Linked DNA regions of Struthio camelus. The protein of the gene in region 1 binds, or shares a complex with, the protein of each later gene. Links are inferred from orthologs where the notes say so. Each region holds a gene or a part of one and is shown on either strand. Other genes may lie near its edges.

Region 1 (9,455 bases):
AGTCTAATAACTGTACCTTATGCTTATTATCACAGAACTGTCATCATACATTATCTGAATTTATCTTTAGAAACACATTTTCCATCACACTGGTAAAGTACTGAAGTGTGGATGGAAGGGATCAAAGGGTACTCCTAGTGAATTACTTTCCCTGCACATGGTATGCATTGCAGCCATTGCAGCCAAAGACACATGAATGGCTTTTAATATATTGCTGTGAGGGACATACATACGATATTTGCTGGACTGGATTTCATTGACAGCTGTGCCTAGATGAACTAGTTTCATACCATGTTCCTTAAACATCACCTTGCAAATGTGCAAGGGATGTAAGAATCTTCCTTTTCCTTCACAATACAGTACGAACAAAATGCCCTACCCGTCGTAAATTATCACAGGATATGTTTTGATTAGCATTATCTGGCACGTTGAGTGTCTTCTCACAGAAAAGGCCTGCCTGCACAATATCTGCTGACTCTTCTTAGTACAATTAGATTTAAGTATTAGCAAAAAGTAAACAAACAGCACCAATTTTACCCCTCTCTCCTAAAACATGGCCAAAACAAGATACTCCAATATCAATTACTGAGGTTAGTATTTCGCATTTACCTTACTTATTTTTTAATTTATATGGGAGTAAAAACTAGAATCTCATTGCGGTTCAGCTGGACTGAAGCTAGGGAGATCAAAAATTGACTTACTCTTTTAACTTCAGCTATCCGATTTATGTACAAAGGCCCAATGCCTTTGAAATGTCATTCAAATAAATCTATGTAAATAGCATTTCTGTATTATATGAGTACAGATTGCATAGTTAGTGATTACTATTTCATACGAAAAGAAGATCCTAAAACTATACCTAAGATAGGACTAAGGGTTATATGCAAACGTATGACACATGTCTTTGTCCGGACTGTTGTTTGAGACCACTGCTTTAAATCGTATCAGGCTTTGATTTACTACTAGATAGAAGGTACTGTCTGTGCATATTGCACCTGGGATGAATCCCACCTCAGTCGAACTGAATGGAAGTTTTTGATGAAGCCTAAATTTCCCTGCTGGTGAAAACTGTCTCTGGAGAATAAGCTCCATTAATGGCTGTCCTATCTTCTTCAAAGGGGTTGTTACTATTTCATGACAGATTTTATGGGGTTTTGGTGGAAGTAAGTCTGACCGAAACAGCTTTTTGCAGTCTAATTTTATATATGATGTTTTTATTGCTGTTGTCCATATGCCTTGATCTCCCCTGAAGGGTGCTTTTTTTAACCCTGAGAAATGTAAATTCACATAGTAAGCCAAACTGAAAGCAACCGGTTTTATGACTGTGTTGCCACAATAAGAATGGCTGTTCTGACATAGAATAAAGTTGGATTTGTACTAAAAGCCAGCATGCCAGCTGCATGATGGCAGCATTTTATTATTTGGGCAAACAAGGACTATCAGGTCCGTATAGTAAATATATTCATTTGGAACAGTTAAAGAGTTTCCTGGTATCTTTTCAGTTCAACATATGACACAATTATCTTTAGCAACATTGTCCACTGGGGGTCTGATGTCGCATCCCCTGAAATCAATCACACAACTCTTAGGACAGAATCAAGCCTATATTCATAGAAAGCCTGGGAGCCTTGAAGAATAATCACGTTAGCAACAGTAATGCATCCTGTAAATATTCTCCTATAGCCTTATCTTTCCCGAACTATAATTAAATGCTGGGAGAGCAGAGAAGGTCAAGAAAACGTTCCTTTTGCTATGGTGAGAGGGAAAAAGGGCACAAACGCAGAACACGTGGTACGTTGATGCGACACAGTAAGTGGGGGAGTGTACCGCCATTTTGTTATAATACAGCGAGGCAGCCCCAAAATGGCTGCAATGGTGCTTCTTTATAATGAGCCATCAAAAAGGCTCAGCTACCGGTATCAGTCGATGTTCTCCCAGGAAAGGAATCAAAACTTATGGAGCCTGTATTACCAGATTTTAACCTGGGAAAATCAAATCAAAACAAAACACTGATATTTACTGTTTTTTTCAGAGACAGCCCAAGATCTTTGTGCGACGTGCATCACGGTCTCTTACAACTTTAGGCTGCGCTGTGGCTTTAAATAATATTGAAAATCAAATAGTTTACACATCTGTAAAGCTACTCAGGTGCCATTTTCCTGGATGTCTGCTGTAGTTCCTGGATGTTGCAAAATCACCCACAGCCAGTTACAGGGCCAAATTGTTCCTTACCTCTTGAGAGAAAACCAAACTCTCTTCTACCTTTGGCCCACTAGAAAGTAACAGATTATTTTGGTTTTGATTTTTGCTTTGTAATTTTAAAATGAGAGAAACCAAGGGAATAAAACAAAACCAAAAGTAGAGCCGATCTGCACTGCAATGTTACAGACACTTGGCAATATTGCATCTCCTGTAGTCAAAAACTGCTCACAAACGTGTTTCCAACTAACACTGCAGAACCTCTATAGGATACCACTTTGCTGTATTTGCATATTCAGCCCCTGCTGAGAAACGTGGCAATCCAGCTACACGTTGATGTTTCAAGTGTTTGAGAAATATTCTGTTTCAAGAAAGGGTTTGTATCTCTTCATTGTACAACGCCACCCAGAAAAAAATCACTCCCATTCCTTTGTTTTTCTTGTCCCAGCAATCATGTTTTACCAGAGCTTTGAAAAAGAGCATGGATCACCAACTATACTGCCTTTGAAATAAATTAACATTTGATTTCAAAAGCTTTTTACGAAGATATGTTCTTGGTTTTCATTTCTGAGGCCAACCTAACTTCCAATTGTAATACAGCAAGGGAAGAGCAGCAATGTTGGCCTAACAGGTGACTACTGGTCTTCTTGAGTTTTTCTGTTTTTTTCCTGAAGCTGTACATTTTCTGACGTACTGTGACTGAATCCTGATAACTGCTATGGGATGGAACCTTTTTGTCCACAGGGTTACCCTATGGCCAATCCAGAAGATCACTGCTGCCCTTCCTACCTCAAAGACTTTTCTGAATAGACCTTTTTCCATTTCTTATATTGACTAGAAGGGGTGTACATCTGTTTGTGTGCGTGTGTGCCTGTGTGCCTACCAAGGAGGAAGTAGATATAATAATTAAATGTTCTATGCAGTAGATATGAAGAATATTTATATACATAGCCACTATAAAGGCATCAAAGCTAATTGCTTCATCTTTAAGCTATATACATTTGTAAGCATACATAAGCACGCAGAATATCATAAAGCTGTGGATTCCACAACACTGTGCACTTTTAGTATTTTAAACCTGTAGCGTTCCTTTGACAAGAGACGTGTCCATCCCACACAGACTGGACCTAAGGTCTTCCTTGTCCGTTAGAATGGGACTAAATGCTACTCCTGGGCAAACAAGCTTCGATCTGAGACACAAATATGAGATTATTTTCATTGATTTTTTCTAAAAACAACAAAGCGACCACTAGACAGATGAAGCTGAAAGCAGCACATTTTTGCAGTTTTCAGGAATGCTACAACAGCGCCCACCCCACAGTTACCAACGATGCCTCTCCCTTGTGAAATCTCCTTACCAAGTGGCAAAAACAGAGAAAGATGAAAACTCTTTAAACAAACCTTTTGGAAGCTTCTCAGCCAAGCTGAGGGCTGCGAGGGTGAAGATTTGTACGAAGGGAATGCTCAGGAGATCTTTCATGTTTGATCCAGAAAAATAGACGGCTCCTTCAGGCAACGTGTACGGAGCTCACTGCCTGTTTCATTTTAGACCATGGTGTGTTAACAAAAAGTTCCTGCGCTAACGACTGAGCAGGGTCTATGGGATCTAAGTATAATCAGGAATTCTCAGACTTGGCTGTGGTGATGGACGTGACCAGCTGGTGTGTATCCACTTAGGTCAGTGTGAAACCGTGGGGCTCATGAAACAAGAGAAAGCAAATCCCTTTAGAATTCCTTTTAAGCAAACAGTGAGGAATACAATGGCCAAATGCTTTTCCAAAACAATACCCTAACCCAATACAGTAAAATCAGCAGGCCATAATTTCAGCACAGTGTAAGTACGGCAGTGGAAAAAATTTTTGCCACTGGATTTTCCTTCAGCTTAGTCCTTCTCTCTTTCATTTTTTCTCCTCTCTCCCTCTCTCCGACTCCCTCTGTCTTATTATAACCTTTCATGATTGGCTGCAATAAACCACCTGTTCCCCTGCTGATTGCATTTCTTTTCTTAACAGATACATTTGCTAGAGCAGGAGAGGTTGGCATCTGGGAGCTGAAAGCAGTCATCTTTGCCAAGGAGGTTGCCAGTACTGAGAATCACTGCAGCAAATCGAAAAAGCAGAGCCTTGTCCTGGAAACAGACCCCTCATAAGCTCTGTGGAAGGGAAAAATGAGTAGCCACAGTGGGAGTGACATCTATACCCTGCAAGAAAACAAATATTTCATTTTAATATCAGCAACAGCACAGGAGATTTTGACATGGGTAGAGGCATTCCTTTAACTAAATTGAATGGTGGATGCCAACATTATTGCCTCAAAAATATCATACTATTCACTAGGTCTCTGTTTAAAGTGAAGGTCATATTTTCTAGGGAGCTTTAGCGGGGCATCAGGCTTGAGGGGATCTAACTAACTTGACTCTCGCCCCTTCTTATCACAGGGGTCTGTGTCGTATCATCTTCTTGCAAAAAATTTCAGGTCAGTTGCAGTCCCCGTTCTCCCTGTGTAGCTATTTATATGAACGACGTTTACGATCAGCATTAACGGCGTGGAATGGCTAGTCTGGGGGCAACATTTGCAGGAACAGAAGAGAAAAAGATGAATAATTAGGTTAGGGAGAATCTAACTGACAATGGTGCCCTGGGAACATGACGTATCAGGTGTGAGTTTTGCTCCCCGAAGCATTAAAAGGCATGGTTCGAGGGAAGGGAATGTGCAGCCATGACGTATCACAGTGAAAGGTACTTTGAGATCTTTGGAATTTCCTTTACTTGCTGGACATCTCAGTTTCAACTTCCTATTAGCAGTTATTTTTGCAATGAATGTACATAGTTAAGAAGTGTTTCCTCTGAGGAGCAAATGGAGAAAAGGTGGCCAGAACTATATGTAAGAATCTCAGTGGTTTGGTATAGCATAATAATATCCATGATACTTTGGGGGTATGCAACCATGACCGGGAGCAAGGATCCCTAGACAAATGCTCCCCTGAACTTGAATTAAAGGCAGAGGTATTCATCAAACATACGTTAAAGATGTTTCAGGAATTCTGGAGCTAGCAACAACCACAAAACATAACAACAAGACAACAACGAAACAATAGTAATTATACCAGGGAACAAAGAAATCCTGACTTATGGCTGAACTTTAAAATATTTCTTCTGTGTTGTTTAAGTCCAGTCACATCCAGTTCATTTGCTTCATAGAAATGCAATTTGGTCTTTTAGGGTAAAATTCTCTTCACGGAGAGAGGTGACCAAAGAGCCCAGAATCACTGGATTTTTAACCGGGTTGTGTTACGAGGACTTCAAAACTGTACCATCTTGTACAAGTCCAGGAATGACTCTTTCTCTTTATGCTTGCTGATTAAAGCATTTAGAAATGACACTGACAGCAATAGCTGTTAAATGTTAATGCCTTTTCATTTTTAGGATTGCCAAACAACTGCTAACTTCTCATTTCCTATGTTTTCTAAATTTTTATTAAGCTTGTAGTAAGCTAAGCTACTCTGAATTGAAGGAATGCAAATTTACATTATAAATGTGAACACAAATGAGAGGATATGCTTGTCCAAGGTGAAGCTACTTTGTTCTGCAGATACACGTCAAATGGCCAGTAGACAAAATACATATGGGAAGCTGGTGATCATCTTTGCCCACCACAGAAAGAAGACATTTCTGTACCTGGACACAGCAAAGGGAGGTGAGTCCAACAGGCCACTGTACTGAGTGAAATCAGTGGAATTGAAATACTGGGGACACCAACTTTTCTTTGGTTCCAAAGATATTTTCAGTCTTGAGCTTATAAAAGTAAAATGCTCTTTTAACTTTTACTCCAAGTAGTTATAAGCTTGTTGTTTGTTTGTTTTCCTAACAGAGCTGAAATGCATACAGTTTATAGCTAATTATAGTTATTGTTTACAGTCATGCCTCCAGGCCTCATCCGAGATGAGGTCCCAGCGGCCTAGACAACTCATAATGAGAAGCAGACCCCAGCTTGCAGGCGCTGCAGTCTAAAGCTTTGTTCCTGCAAAGGTTTGTGCATTAGCTTAACTCTCTGAAGAGCTCCAGGGAAATCGGTGCATGAAGTTCAGTGCAGAAATACATCTCTGAAGTCAGTGCCTACAAAGGTAAGAGAGGGGAGGAACTGCAGGGCATGCATCATCTCCTACAAGGTGTGCTGGAGTTACCTATTACCTGGTTACCATTTTTTCCCTTTGCAAATTGTTTGCAAAGTTATTTTTAGTCATACAAAGAAAGTCCGAATTTTTGAGGATGTGCTGAATAGTTTAGATTAATGTCTTTCAGTTAATTGATTGCTTGTTAACTCTCCGCCATGATGAGGAAAAATTTGATCTTCACTGTTTGCAGGACAGGATCATTCCAATCATTTTCTGTGCATATCTCTCCTCTCCCTCTTTCTTGCACGTGCTCTGCTGGCGTCTGACAGTTTCAAACTCTAACATCACATGATTTGATAGCTGGATACTTTGAAAATTGCCTTTCCTCCACATCACCAGCTGGGATGTTTTCTCTCTAGACAGTCCAAGATCTTCATCCACGTGGACAGACCAGGCCAGATATTTTCGGAAGAAGGTGTCCAGCTGGGGAACAAATTCCCTCTGCAGAGGAACAGAACGAACTTGCTTTGGCAATGGTCCCAGGGAGAGGTTTGGAGGCTACTCATGTAGATATATCCAAGTTAGCACTAGTCCAGCCTGCCCAGATGTCCATTTTAATGCAATGTCATGCATGCCAGTGTTGGCAACCTACCTGAGTAAATACAAGGTCCACTGGTGCAGCCCTCAACAAACACAGCACATCTTAGCTTTGCTACTACTGGTACTTCAGTGATGTTTCTGACTGCAGCACAGATGTAGTCTCTGAGGCCTGAGAGCAGGTTTGAGGCCTGACACACCACACTCAGTGCGAGGCCACACTGACTATTTTTACTTGCTTTTCACCAGCAGCAAGAATCCCTAAAGACTACTAGGTCATTATTATTCAGCTCTATTCATACACATAATGATCAAGCCCTAAAAAGACCAAGCGTTAAACCCGCCAGAGTAAGGGATGAGTACTGACACAGCCAATCTCTTCAAACCCCTTCTACCTGTAGTTCCCTAAAAAATTCCCAGCAAAGAGCAGAGGATCCTGGAGAAAAGTCCCATGTATATACCAGTGTATAATATGAACAAACGTGTTTTTTCTTGGTCTCCTTCTGCAACCCTTTTAGGCATAACCCACAGACTCATGAGGTCCAGACTTTAGAGACTGAAAATACGTGATGAAATATGCAACTATTTTATTATCTGGTATGCAAGCAGTAAGTATTACTATGTAGGGGAAAACTCCTGAAAGCAGATATTTGCTTTTAGTTGAGTTTGGGACTCTAGAGTGGGTAATAGGTTCACCCTTGATATAAATAACTGGATGTATTTGTATCTGAAAATAAGATTTTCCCCGTTGTGGATTCTGTTTTTTTCATCTGCCACTCCTACAGTGCAATCAGTAAAGCCACTGATGTGACCAACAAGGCTAAGCATAAGCATATTCTCACCGCAAGGAAATCCAGAGCCTTGGTTGTCACTGGAGACAAAAGGCACAAAAACAGAGGCTAACGCAGGTGAAGCTGTCATTAGTGAAGATGGAAAACAACTGCTGAAACACACTTCAGGATGAAGTCTGATTTTTCCATATTGTGAAGGTGTTTCATGTGGAAAACCATGCACAATCTTTATCCTTTGCAAATACTGCACTTTATATTGGGCTTAGAGGGCAGGTGTTGGTTGAGGGCATCTGTGGTCATTTACAGATTTTCCAATATTCAGAAAAGCCTGATTTAGAAATAAACTGGATGTATTTCTGCTACCCTGCCGTACTGCAACCTACAAGATATGCAGCTCAGTTTTCTGTGCCACAGTGTCCAAGCATGTGACAAAACACTATGACAGTGCTCTGACTCTCCCCCCCGACCCCGATTTGGCTAATGCTGAGTGCTTTTAAAAATTCCATATTCAAGCATCTGTAGATGTTAGACTAATTTTTGACCCAGGCAATAAGCCTCAATGGGAGGTTTCTGACAATGGATTAATTTAGCAGAAAAAATGGGTCACGGGGCTGGTTATTTTTAATGCAGCTGCCTTTATTTACCATGACAGCACCCATTCTGTTTCCCTAAACACAGCTGGAATCAGAGGGTGAGTGGCCGCTCTCCGGTCGTGGCTCCAAGCGTCTTGCAGCCAAGGTGCAACTCAGAAGCACATACACCTCATACTCTTTCTCTTGGAGCCACTCTTTCCACATTCGCTAAGCCTGTGTCTGGTGCTCCCTTGCTGCTTCCTTCTTCAAAGCTCCTCGGCTCTCTGATGCAGGAGTCTTCACAAAACAGTTGGCAGCGAAACATTCCAGCTACTTGGGTCTGCCGTCTGCCCATGTGTCTTCCTAAACAGAAATGCATTAGGAATTCATTGCTGATAAGGTTATGGGAACACCAGTCCTCCCAGTCCCACCTTCATGTGCTCCCACCACTGCTCAAATGCTGCGCATGCTTCTGGTTGTATGATATGGAAAGGTATAACAACACATGCCCGTGTTTGTGGAGGATGTAAACAGCGTTTTAGTTCTTTCGTTACACATCATAACTTGCTTCTTTATCCTCATCCCGAGCAAAAGCTGCTCTTACAGCTAAGGAGATTTAGCCCAACCTGTAACAAACATATGGCCCATAGGATCTCATTGCTTGGGTCGGTAGTACCAAATGCTGAATAGACTGAAACATGTGAGAGAGAAAGCTGTTTTGCTGCTGTGCTGTACTCTGCGCTTATATTTTTTCTGAATTGTTAAAATGAAGGAAAGACATTCCTTTCAAGCTTCTCAAGACATTTCTTTAAGGAGCATGGACCCACATCCAAAGACTGCTTCTTATGCTGCAGTTACAGAGTTTTAGGAGCACTTGGCTTGACCTTTCAGCCATTTGGACCAATCTTCAATCTCCTCCTAGTATTTCAACATTTTCTGAACTCTAAAGCCTCATTTCTAAAATATTCCTCTTTTTTTTTTGGTCTTAAGATTTTGTGATTACTGGAAAAATCTAAGATTTGCATTAATTTTTTGGAATACTTCTATTGCTTTAGTTTTGCTATAAACTTTCACTGATTTTTTTAACTTACAAGATCTGCCAACACAGACCGAGGCCAGTCGAATCTGATGTCCTATGATCTTCAGTAGGGTAAAATTATCTGGTGTAAGGCAGTATAGTTA
Region 2 (9,841 bases), on another chromosome or scaffold:
ATTTGGGGAACAGCCAGCACATGTTTAATATTTGGCAGTGGGATTAAGTAAAGAATATAATGTGTACTGTGCGCTGGAGCCCCATAGAGATCATGAGTGTCCCAAGAAAGGTGAAATGGTAGCAGCCAGCAGTGGCTCAGGGTTTCCATGCCAAGATGAGAGCTGGTTGTGGTTATTGGCTCCAAGAGTTCCTACTAGCTAGAGAACTGTGAACTACCTTGCTTGCTCAGTTTTCATTACTTTGCCCAGGAAGTAATACAAGTATTCAGTGTTATAGTTCTGTTCTCACTCCCCGCCCTGGAGAAACAGAGCTGCTCAGGAACAAAGGAGGGAGAAAGAAGGTAAAGAACGAGGGAATGAAGGAGAGAGGAGCTGCACAAAGACAAAAGGTCTAAAGAGAGCTGCAAAGTCTGAGAAACACTGATTTAGAGTCACAGATGTTGCTGCAATACAGTGCTCATGACCTGAAATCATTATTAGTGAATCAATAATTAATTTTTTTCCTTGACAGCAGACTTGTAGTGTGGTCTAAATAGCAATAGCGTAGACCTCTTAATGTCACAACAAATGTAGCTGACCTTTGAATTTTCTTAATGTATGCTCAGGAAATTAATCTATAAACCATGTGATATGTATACAAATATTTCAAGACCAATAAATACCAAGTAGACAATGTGTTCTGCTTGATTATTTTAAAAGATTTTTCTTGGTAACTCTTTTTTTAAATCAGTGAATTGATACAGAAATTGCAATCAGTAGAACTTCTGAGATGTGGAGTAATAAGCAAGGTCCTGAGAAGTAAATTAATCTCAGAGACAAGACTGCATCTGATGTTCCTCATTTGTCAGAGAAATCTCCTAATACAAGGCAACACAATTTTTCTTCCTGCTTTGCTCTCAAAGGAATTTCTTTTTAAATAGAAAATAGATATTTCTCCTTAGTCTCAAACAATTTGGTTTATGATTTCAATGGCATGCTAAATGCTCAGTAGCATCGCATTCAACACATGCCGGTGGGCGCAAGCCATGTAAAATTGCAGCATCACACAGTTCCATGGAAAAGTGTATGTGTGTGTGTATGCAACAGCTCTCTGAACACTTTTGTGATCTCTGAGGGTTTCAATACACTGAGAAACTCTTCAAATATTCTCTGCCTTATGTAATCTATCTATATTACAATTTAAAGTGTTAGCCCTAAGGACTGACTGACTCCCATTGAAACTGAGCCAAGTCATCCATGCTCTTCAGTAAGCATCTGATTCTAAGAGTGTTTCAAAAAGTGTCTTTGGCAAAATCTGGTATTTTGATACCTGTGTTTAATGTGGAATAAAAGAATCCGCCATCGTAATTCAGAATGTTTGCATATGAGATTTGGACTAAAAAAGTGAATATGGAAGCACTAGCCTACTGAAGTTTGATTTTAGAAATTGCTCTTATTGAATTTTTTTTTAATCATACCTGTAACTCCATTTAATGCATGGTTACAAGAAGGTTAAAGTTTTTGCATCAGAAATCTCATTGTAGAAGTCAGAAACATAAGTTATCTTTTCCAGCGAGTCTCCCTTTGGGACTTTCTCTGACTGCTCTTTTTCCAATTATTTTCTGTCAAATTAGATAATCTTTCCTTATTTTTAACACAGGGAGATTCTGGTGGACCTCTGGCCTGTGATAAAAATGAAATCTCTTACCTGTATGGAGTTATCAGCTGGGGAGATGGCTGTGGCAGAGTCGACAGACCTGGAGTATATACGCGAGTGACCAACTATGTAAACTGGATTAACGAGAAGATAGCCCCCCGAAGAAGCACAAGTTGAACACACAAACATGCTACCATTGCAAGCAACGTTCAGCAGTCTTTCAGTTTCACTCAATTGGCGTGAATATTTTATCATAAAATAATATGAAAACTGTCATAGTAATTTTTTGCAATTTCAGAACTGACCCCTGAAAGTAGGCCTAATCCAGCTGATGTTAGTGTCTTTGATCTAGAATTGTAGGGCTGTGGACAGCTCCGTGTACGAGCCTGTCTTTATTTGGCCTAGTGATATACAAACATATCAAGAAAAGTTTACCAAACCCACAACTGTTGATGTCTGCCTGGTGGGGTGCATGAAAAGAGTTATTTGAGTGTTTTCACTCAGTTTCTGGTGGAGGTGTCAGACCTTATAAGCAGCCCATAACAACGTTGTCTTTGTATCCTCAGCTGAGTTTAAGAACATGAAGAAAGGAAAAGGGAGGAGCACCGAGAATGAAATTCCCTTCCCCTTGGAAGCGAGCTCTTAAAGTTCAGGTTGAACGACACCAGCCGAGTGATATAGATCAAGCTGCTCCCCAGCTAACTGCAGCAAACCACTTCTGGGGAAAAAACAGAGGATTTAGGTTGTGATTCAATGAAACATGCTAGAACATTTTTATGTTCCACTGACACAAAATTAGGGCTGTGCTTCAGAGTGCTGCTGAATTTGGTCTGCAATTTTCCAGCACGGTTAATGTAACACCCCCTGAGAGCACAAAGTTTATTACTGAAAAATACTGAAAATCAGTGCACCTGGTTTCAGACGGCTATAGTTAGGACCTTTTGCAGACCCTTATCAGCTGCTCCTCATCCTGAGGACAACAGTGGGAATACTTCACCTTGACAATAAATACTTCTAAATATTTCTTAAATTTGACACTGTTTTAAAGATGTCTTAGATCTTGTTCTGACAAATTGTTTGACTGTTTTGATAATTCAGAAAGGTGGGTTCTGTTCTAGATTTTTAAAATGGATGGCTGGGGTGAAGAGTTTCGTAATGCTTTGCTTGCATGGACCGTGGAATTATTATGGGAACAATCAAAGAAGTTATTACAATATATAGCTGAGGGCTGTGGCTGTGTGCACTGCTCTGTTGGCAAAAAAGGCAGAAACTGCTTTAATATTAAAAGAAAAAAAAGACTCATCTGATAAAGAAGAATGGAAACTTACAACTTTTTAAATACAGGGAATCTTTGGCCATGTCAGTGATGTATATTTGGAAGTGCTGATGTGAAATGTTTTTATTCTCTAATAGTGAACATTTTTGAATTGTCTTAAGTGTTTCAGGCAAAGCTAGTTTTCAGGATATAGAATTTAAAGGTGATGATTGGAGGCTCAGAAACGTATTTTCTGGTAGTACCAGCAGTATCTTCATGGGTCTCTTAGTTGTGGTGAATTATTTCTGTAGCTAAAAGAAACTTTGTAAGGAAAAATAACCAAAAACTGAATTTGTGTAAGGGCAAAGATATAACAATGTTAATCTAGATAAATTATGTAAACTGTTTAATAAAAATGTCTGTGGTCTGTTTCTTGGACTTTGTCTGTGTTGTATATGATTACAATTAAATATATGAATCATTATGTAGGGTTGAGGGCTGGTGAAAAATTAAATAATACTCTTCTGTTCAGGAAAGTGTCTGAAAAGCTCTGCATAAGGATGTATTTCTGCTAGTGGTGTTCCCAGTTTTATGCAAGTGTCGCACAAAATTTCCAGTAGACAGAAAATATGGAGTGGAGAAGCCTGAGTCGCAAAGCTGAGATCTGATTTTCAGTTACAAATACTGTGAATACTAAAAATGAAGGCTTTATTTTTCTGAAGCACTAAACAGGCATTTGAAAAATTGAGATGCAACTCTGGGGTCCTGATGCCAAAACAATCTGAAGACAGGTTGTTTGGGTCTATCTCGTTGGCCATTTGCAGTATGAGGCTGGCTCGGTTAACGCTGTGAAAGGACTTCCACCTTTTACAAGACTTACCGTACCTGCTGATGAAAGACGTGCTCAGTCATCACGAGGGAAGTATTTACTCTCTTTGGGAGTGATTCATTTGGAATAACTTTTGTTGTGCCTTGCTAATAGGTGTCAACCCAAAGCTTATGCCACTCTGCACGGCCGTAGCTGTTCTGTGACTTTGGTTTCATTTTGAAATTAATATCCACCCGCACCAAGTATGCTTTTAATCTAGTGGTTTTGTGTTGTTTATATTCTTCCAGCCTTGCTGCAAAGAGGGTGGCTGTTTGATAGCACACTACTACTAGGTTAGTGGCTCTGACAGCTTCTGTTGCATAGAGCTTTTTAGCTCTCTTGTTCTCAAAACGCATGCTGTTCATACCAGTGTGCTGCAACAGCCATACATCAATAAAATCCTTTTTCAAAATATGTGGAATGTTCACAGATGAAATAGTCCATTTACTGTCTTGAAAGGCCTGTATGACAAATCTGCAGCTGATATTAACTGTCCTATTTTGAAAGCATTAAACTTAATTTGTGGCTTTCAGAATAGCCTCTCTGTCCATTGTTATTGCACTGATTTGGTAGAACTAAACCTCATGACTTGAGGATCTGCTCTTTAGTGAATAGCCCTGTGTTAACCCCTCAGACCCAATCACTAGCCTCCCTAAGCTCTGTGGCTGTAAGCAGGGAAGCAAATTTCCAGGTTAAGCAAGGGGTCCATGCCCTGAGGATATCGTTCCTATGTACTATGTTCCTGGACTCTCTGCCTCCTGCCTTTTCTCTTGAGCATTCCCCGTGGTAATTTTGCCCCCACTTTTTCCTCTCTTTAAGCGCTTATTACTTTGGTTAGAATGAAAATCCAGCATAAATTTACTAGCAAAATTTTGTCTGATGGGAATTTTCCTAACATTTATCTAGAAATTGAATTAGGATGCAAAACCAGTTGAACAAACACACCTGAAATTCATTATGAAACGCACTTAAAGATGGTTTTATTAAATTACATGTTATTGCAGGCAAATTGACCAATTAAAAGGAGAGACATAAACGCAAACATCTAAAAAAAAAAAAAACCCACCCCTTCTATTATACTATTGAAAGACAAATGTACTGTGGTGTTGTTTAAAAAAAGCTGAAGAACTAATTACCATCAAATAAGATGCAGTAGGAGTATTTTTGGAATAATGGACTCTAATTAGGCCATCGCTCATTGAAATAAATCTGAGGACATCATTAGCACATCTTATTCTATTAATTGTAGCAGCTCCGCGTTCTGTGCAAGTGGGCTGTTATCTTGTGACAGTTGCATTACAAAGCAAAAAAAAAAAAGTATTTTTATCTGCGGTAGTTAGCTGAATGTCTTCTGGCAGCCGAGGGGATCGGTAATTACGCTTTCGGAAAGAGGAGTGGGGCGGTACGGCAAAGCCGCTCGTTTAGAGACGCACGGAATGGGGTGTCTCGCCCGCCGGCCCCGGGCCCCGCTCCGGATCCCGCTGCTGGAGGGCGGCGGGGGATCCGGTCCGGGCTTTCGCGCCGGCCCTCGGCCGAGCCGGGGCGCAGGTCGCCCTCGGCGGTCAGCCGCAAAGCCCGGAGCTGGATCGCCGCGGGAGTTGGGGTGGGCGGCGCTCAGCTGCCGAAGGAGCGCCGTCGCGGCGGCCCTGGCGGGGGCCGTCGCTCTCTGGGTGCCCCGTCTCGTGCTATCCGAATCGGAGGAAAAAAAAAACCAGAAAAACAAAACAAGGCAATAAAGTACCACAATAAAACAAAACTCGTCGAGTTTCCTGGGGCCACCTTTCCCCTCCGCGGCCCGGCCCCCGGCCAGTGGGGCGGGGGGCGCCGGGGAGGGCCGCGCCGCGCCGCCCTGGCCGTGCGCCCGCCTCGCTCCCTGTGCCTGTGCGGGGACCTAATAAAGCTATTTTGAAAGTGACCCCTCGGCCAGAGCGCGGGGAGGGAGCAGCGAGCCGGGCGCAGCTGTCCGGAATCATGACTGAAGATGACGGATTCCGTGGTGGTGGAGGGTCACGTCAAGTTGAGAGATGGAAAAAAGGTCCCCGCTCTCGGCGCCCCTTCGGTCCGGTCCCGCTGCGGGCCGCGGCCGGGGGTCCCCGACCGGCTCCCCCCCGTCGCGAGGGGCTGCCGCGGGAGGGGAGAGGGAGCCCGCTCCGGCCCTGGCTAACCCTGTCCTTTTGCCTCTCGTTGCAGTGGAAGAGTAGGTGGCTGGTGCTGCGCAAGCCGTCCCCGGTGGCAGGTAAGAGCGGCGGGGGGGGGCCCAGGCTGTGCCTTCCCCGGCTGTCCCCCTCTCCCCTCCTCCGCCCGGCCAGGGGGAGGCACCATTTGGGGCCCCAGAGAAAGCGAGGCGCCAGCTGAGTTTACACAGCCCTCCTCGAGGTTGGGTGCCGCAGGAGGAGAGCGCCCCGGCCCTCAGCGGGGCTCTCCTCCAGCCATCGCTGCTCTTTCCTCTTTTTTGTTAAAAAAAAAAAAAAAAGGGGGAGGGGGAAGGAGTGTGAAATTATGGGCTCAGTTAGCAAGAGGCCAGGCGGCCAAAAATAGAGGCTACTGAAAGAGCCCCGAAGTGTAACGAACGCAAAGGCGAGGAGGGAGCGCAGGAGAAGCTGCCGGGCTTCATGTTTCCTCCCTCTCGCAGCTCGCGGGGGTCTGGCTGGCGGCCGTTAACGGCTCCTGCCGCAGCGCTTCGCCGCCGGCCTTGGCGCCGCCCCCGCTGTGGTAACCGGCCCCCCAAAATGGCGGGGCGTCCCCCCCCTCCCCTCCGCCAAATGGCGGGGTGCTGCCTCCCCCACCCCCAAAATGCTGGGCATGCCCTGCCTGTGGGAGACTGCTTGTTGCCTGAGTGGAGCCCGGGGGTGGCTTCCCTGGCAGGTTATACGCTATGTACCCCTGCAGCCCCCTCGTAACGCTGCCGCTGGCAGGAGTTTTTCTGGCAACGATGAAACCCGCGCGCTGGTGCCAGGTTATGATGTTTGGAGCGGCCGGAGGAAGCGCTGCCAGCGACTGTAAATTCAGACCTTCAGAATGAAGGTTTTAGTAGCTTCAAGCAATCTGGGCGTTCTGACCAGATATGAAGTAAAACAACTGAAAAACCCACGTTCCAAGGCATGACTATTCGTTTTTGGTTCCTGTTTAAAATGTCAGTTCAGAGTTCTTAAAAAAAAACAAAACAAAACAAAAAAAACAGAAATTTTTTTTCCCCCCCTTAGGGTGGCTGTAAAAAAGTTGACATGTTAAGTTTGGTGGTTATTTTGAATCAGTGTATTGACATGAAATATTTCAGTTTAAAAAGAAAGTGGCATTTTTTGAGTTGAAAACTTAATTTCTGTGTTTTTGAAGGGAAAATTGAAGATTTTATTCAAAGCTGATGTTTTGCTACTGGAGAGGGGAAAAATAGGTTTTAAGAAGCCCATCTTTTTCTAAAGGGGAAAATATTTGGCCCGAGAAGTATGTATTTCCAGGGCTAATTGTTGCCCACGTTTACAAAACGTGAATCCACAGTGCTTTGGGATGGATTATGGAATCATTCTGAGGTTGTTGCTGGCAGACTTGTTGTTTTTGTTAATAAGTGAACCTCAGACCCAACTCCTTGTTACTTGAGTTATTGCAGTTAACTTGTTAGCGTCTTAAATAGTTATTTTAACCTATATCTTGACTGAATTTCTTAAACTTCCCTCCCTGAATGGGCATCTGTTGGTCCTAGTGTTCATATTTAGACATGTGAGTATGGGTCTGGATTTCTAACATGAGGAAACAAAGTTTGAAGGGAGGAAGGGAGGGGAACTTTCTTTGGAAATCTACTGACAGATAATATAGCTTATTTCTCAGAGATACTATTTTTATTATAGCCATTTAAATTAGCCACGTTAGCTAACCCCCAAGGTTTTGCTTATTTGTTCTGTAAATCTTAGTTTTTCTTTCTCCAGACAGGCAGCTGTATTATGGAATCCTTAAATCTCGTGGTTGCAGCTGTTTCTGCTAACAGGTGCAAGAAAACAATTGGGAATGCATGCAGAGTTTTGCTTTAGTTAACAGGCAGTTCAATCCTTCCGTCATTTTTCACCTCTTTGGAGATTTGCCAGCCCTTTTCACAGTAGAGGCCCCTTGCCAGGGTTCAGAGCACACCACCCCAACATTCACTAAATGGAGCACACAGGGCTTTCTCCTTTGCAGTGTGTAAATCAGCTTAAGCAATGGATATTATAACTTCAATATTTACTGTTAATTTCAGTTAGAATTGAGTGCTATATGATAAGAAGGTACCCTGGAGGAAGAGGCTATTGTTATCAAATGCAAAAGGTGAGGGAGTGCTTTTTTTTTTTCTCTCCTTGCCCTTTGCGTTTGATCATGAAATGCCCTTCTTCCGTGTGACTGTGACATTTGGATTACTTTCTTGCATTGCATAGTTACTGGGTAATAACAGCTCCAGGAAGGGGTTAAAAACAAATGGTGGCACAAGCAAATACTAAAAAAAGTAAGTATGGCACATAATGATTATTTAGCAATAGCTACTGTGTAACATTTAACTAGGAAACCTGAGCTGACACTAACAATCTCCCTGGCCATGTAGCCTGCTCACCATTTAGTAGTTGAGTAATCTGTGAACTACTGTGAGAATTTCATATGTGGTTCAATATGTTCTAATGGAAATATAGATGACAATAGTCTCTCAGCTTTAGTGTTTATAATGTGAACAGCTATCATAGAGTAACTGCTAATGTTCAGAATTGATCAGTCAGTTATCTTCCAGATGCAGAAGGCTATCTGGAAAATCACTGGATTTTGGAAAAGTAAAATAATTGGGAAGAGTTTTTACTTGCCTTCTTGTTTCTGACCCTGCAGATTACACTTGAAAAATGCCTTCAATATTTATTCTCTGCATGTGAGGGCTGTGAATTGCTTAGTGGGGGAGGAAACAGAGTTCTTGATCAGACTGACCCTCCAATTGTCAAAAGCACTTTTATTTTGAATCAGAGTACTGAGAATTGTGTTGTGTTCTGTTCTGCCTCATCCTCTCTGACAGTTTTGCTTCTTTTAGATTGTTTGCTCATGCTGGTGTACAAGGATAAATCTGAACGAGCAAAAGGGCATAAGGAGAGGAGCAGCGTGACCTTAGAAGACATCTGTGGCTTGGATCCTGGGCTCCCCTATGAGGGCTTGAATCACACGCTTGCAATCATCTGTCTCTCTCAAGTTGTGATGCTGGGATTTGAGAACAAGGAAACAATGTATGCGTGGGATGTACGAATCCGCTACAGTTTGGGGGAAGGTAACCTTTGTCTTGTCATATTCATTTTTTTTTTTTTGCTTTGAGAAGAAAGCAAAGAAAAGCAGAGCTAAAATGCAAATAATAAAGTACAGTTAAGGAAAAAACTGTCACTCATTTGATGGTGAAGAGTCTGTTCTTTCCTTTGCATCTTAAAGCAGCTGTCTCTTAAGATACGTTTTGAGTATATTACTGCTCAGTACTGGCTGCTAACTGTGAGAGCTTTCAACTTACTTTTTGATTGGGCCACTGAAAGCTTTTAGTGATCCAAGTTCCACTTTTGTCCCTGCAGTTTATTTGGGTTTTTGATGACAGGATTCAGGGTAAGCCTGATTTAAGAGAAGTCGAGTCCTAAATAGAACTCGACTAGTTAAATCCCGGTTTAAGGAACAGCCTACTAGCCTGGAAGGTATTATCTTCGGTAAAATATTTCACTGCTAGTGCTTTCTTTCAGGGTGGGACTTCTCGTAACAAGGAGTGTCATCAGACAGTTTTCCCACCTAATTTCACTCTTATGCACTCCCCCCCACCCCCGTCAGCAGTTCTAAAATATACAGTGGTGAATGAGGAATGGCAAACTGGCAATCCAGAGTAACTAGCCTTTAAGTTTATTTAGTGATGATCGGGGAAAGAGGATGGATGTGTGGAGGTTGCACATTTGCTGTCTTAAACAATCACTAGCTACAACATATTGCAAAGGATATATAACAGTGGAATCGTTCCACTGCAATGTGAGCACAGAAAGGTGGTCTTGGAGTTTTACGCAAGTGTGATATAGCTGCTGAGCTCGTATCTGTGAGCAGTATCAGAATAGAGACATAT

The links.
Region 2: the proteins of MUSK (region 1) and DOK7 are in contact, whole or in part, in a crystal structure (PDB 3ML4), measured with the Mus musculus proteins. The link is inferred for Struthio camelus from reciprocal best matches to the Homo sapiens genes MUSK and DOK7. Residues at the interface, in NP_035074.2 of Mus musculus: Leu547, His548, Pro549, Asn550, Pro551, Met552, Tyr553, Gln554, Arg555; in NP_001335203.1 of Mus musculus: Leu154, Ser155, Asp156, Leu157, Arg158, Arg159, Tyr160, Gly161, Gly172, Thr173, Arg174, Ser193, Asp197, Val200, Arg201.

Annotation. Positions count from the first base shown.
Region 1 is NC_090982.1:17,586,986-17,596,440, reverse strand, and holds the start of MUSK (muscle, skeletal receptor tyrosine-protein kinase), read right to left. Parts: upstream 3,680-9,455; coding exon 3,601-3,679; intron 1-3,600.
Region 2 is NC_090945.1:76,474,393-76,484,233, reverse strand, and holds the start of DOK7 (protein Dok-7), read left to right. Parts: upstream 1-5,567; 5' UTR 5,568-5,740; coding exon 5,741-5,794; intron 5,795-5,949; coding exon 5,950-5,995; intron 5,996-7,731; exon of another isoform or gene 7,732-8,052; intron 8,053-8,791; coding exon 8,792-9,022; intron 9,023-9,841. Other genes in the region: HGFAC (hepatocyte growth factor activator), read left to right, coding at 1,640-1,813. UniProt on the Homo sapiens protein: Probable muscle-intrinsic activator of MUSK that plays an essential role in neuromuscular synaptogenesis. Acts in aneural activation of MUSK and subsequent acetylcholine receptor (AchR) clustering in myotubes. Induces autophosphorylation of MUSK.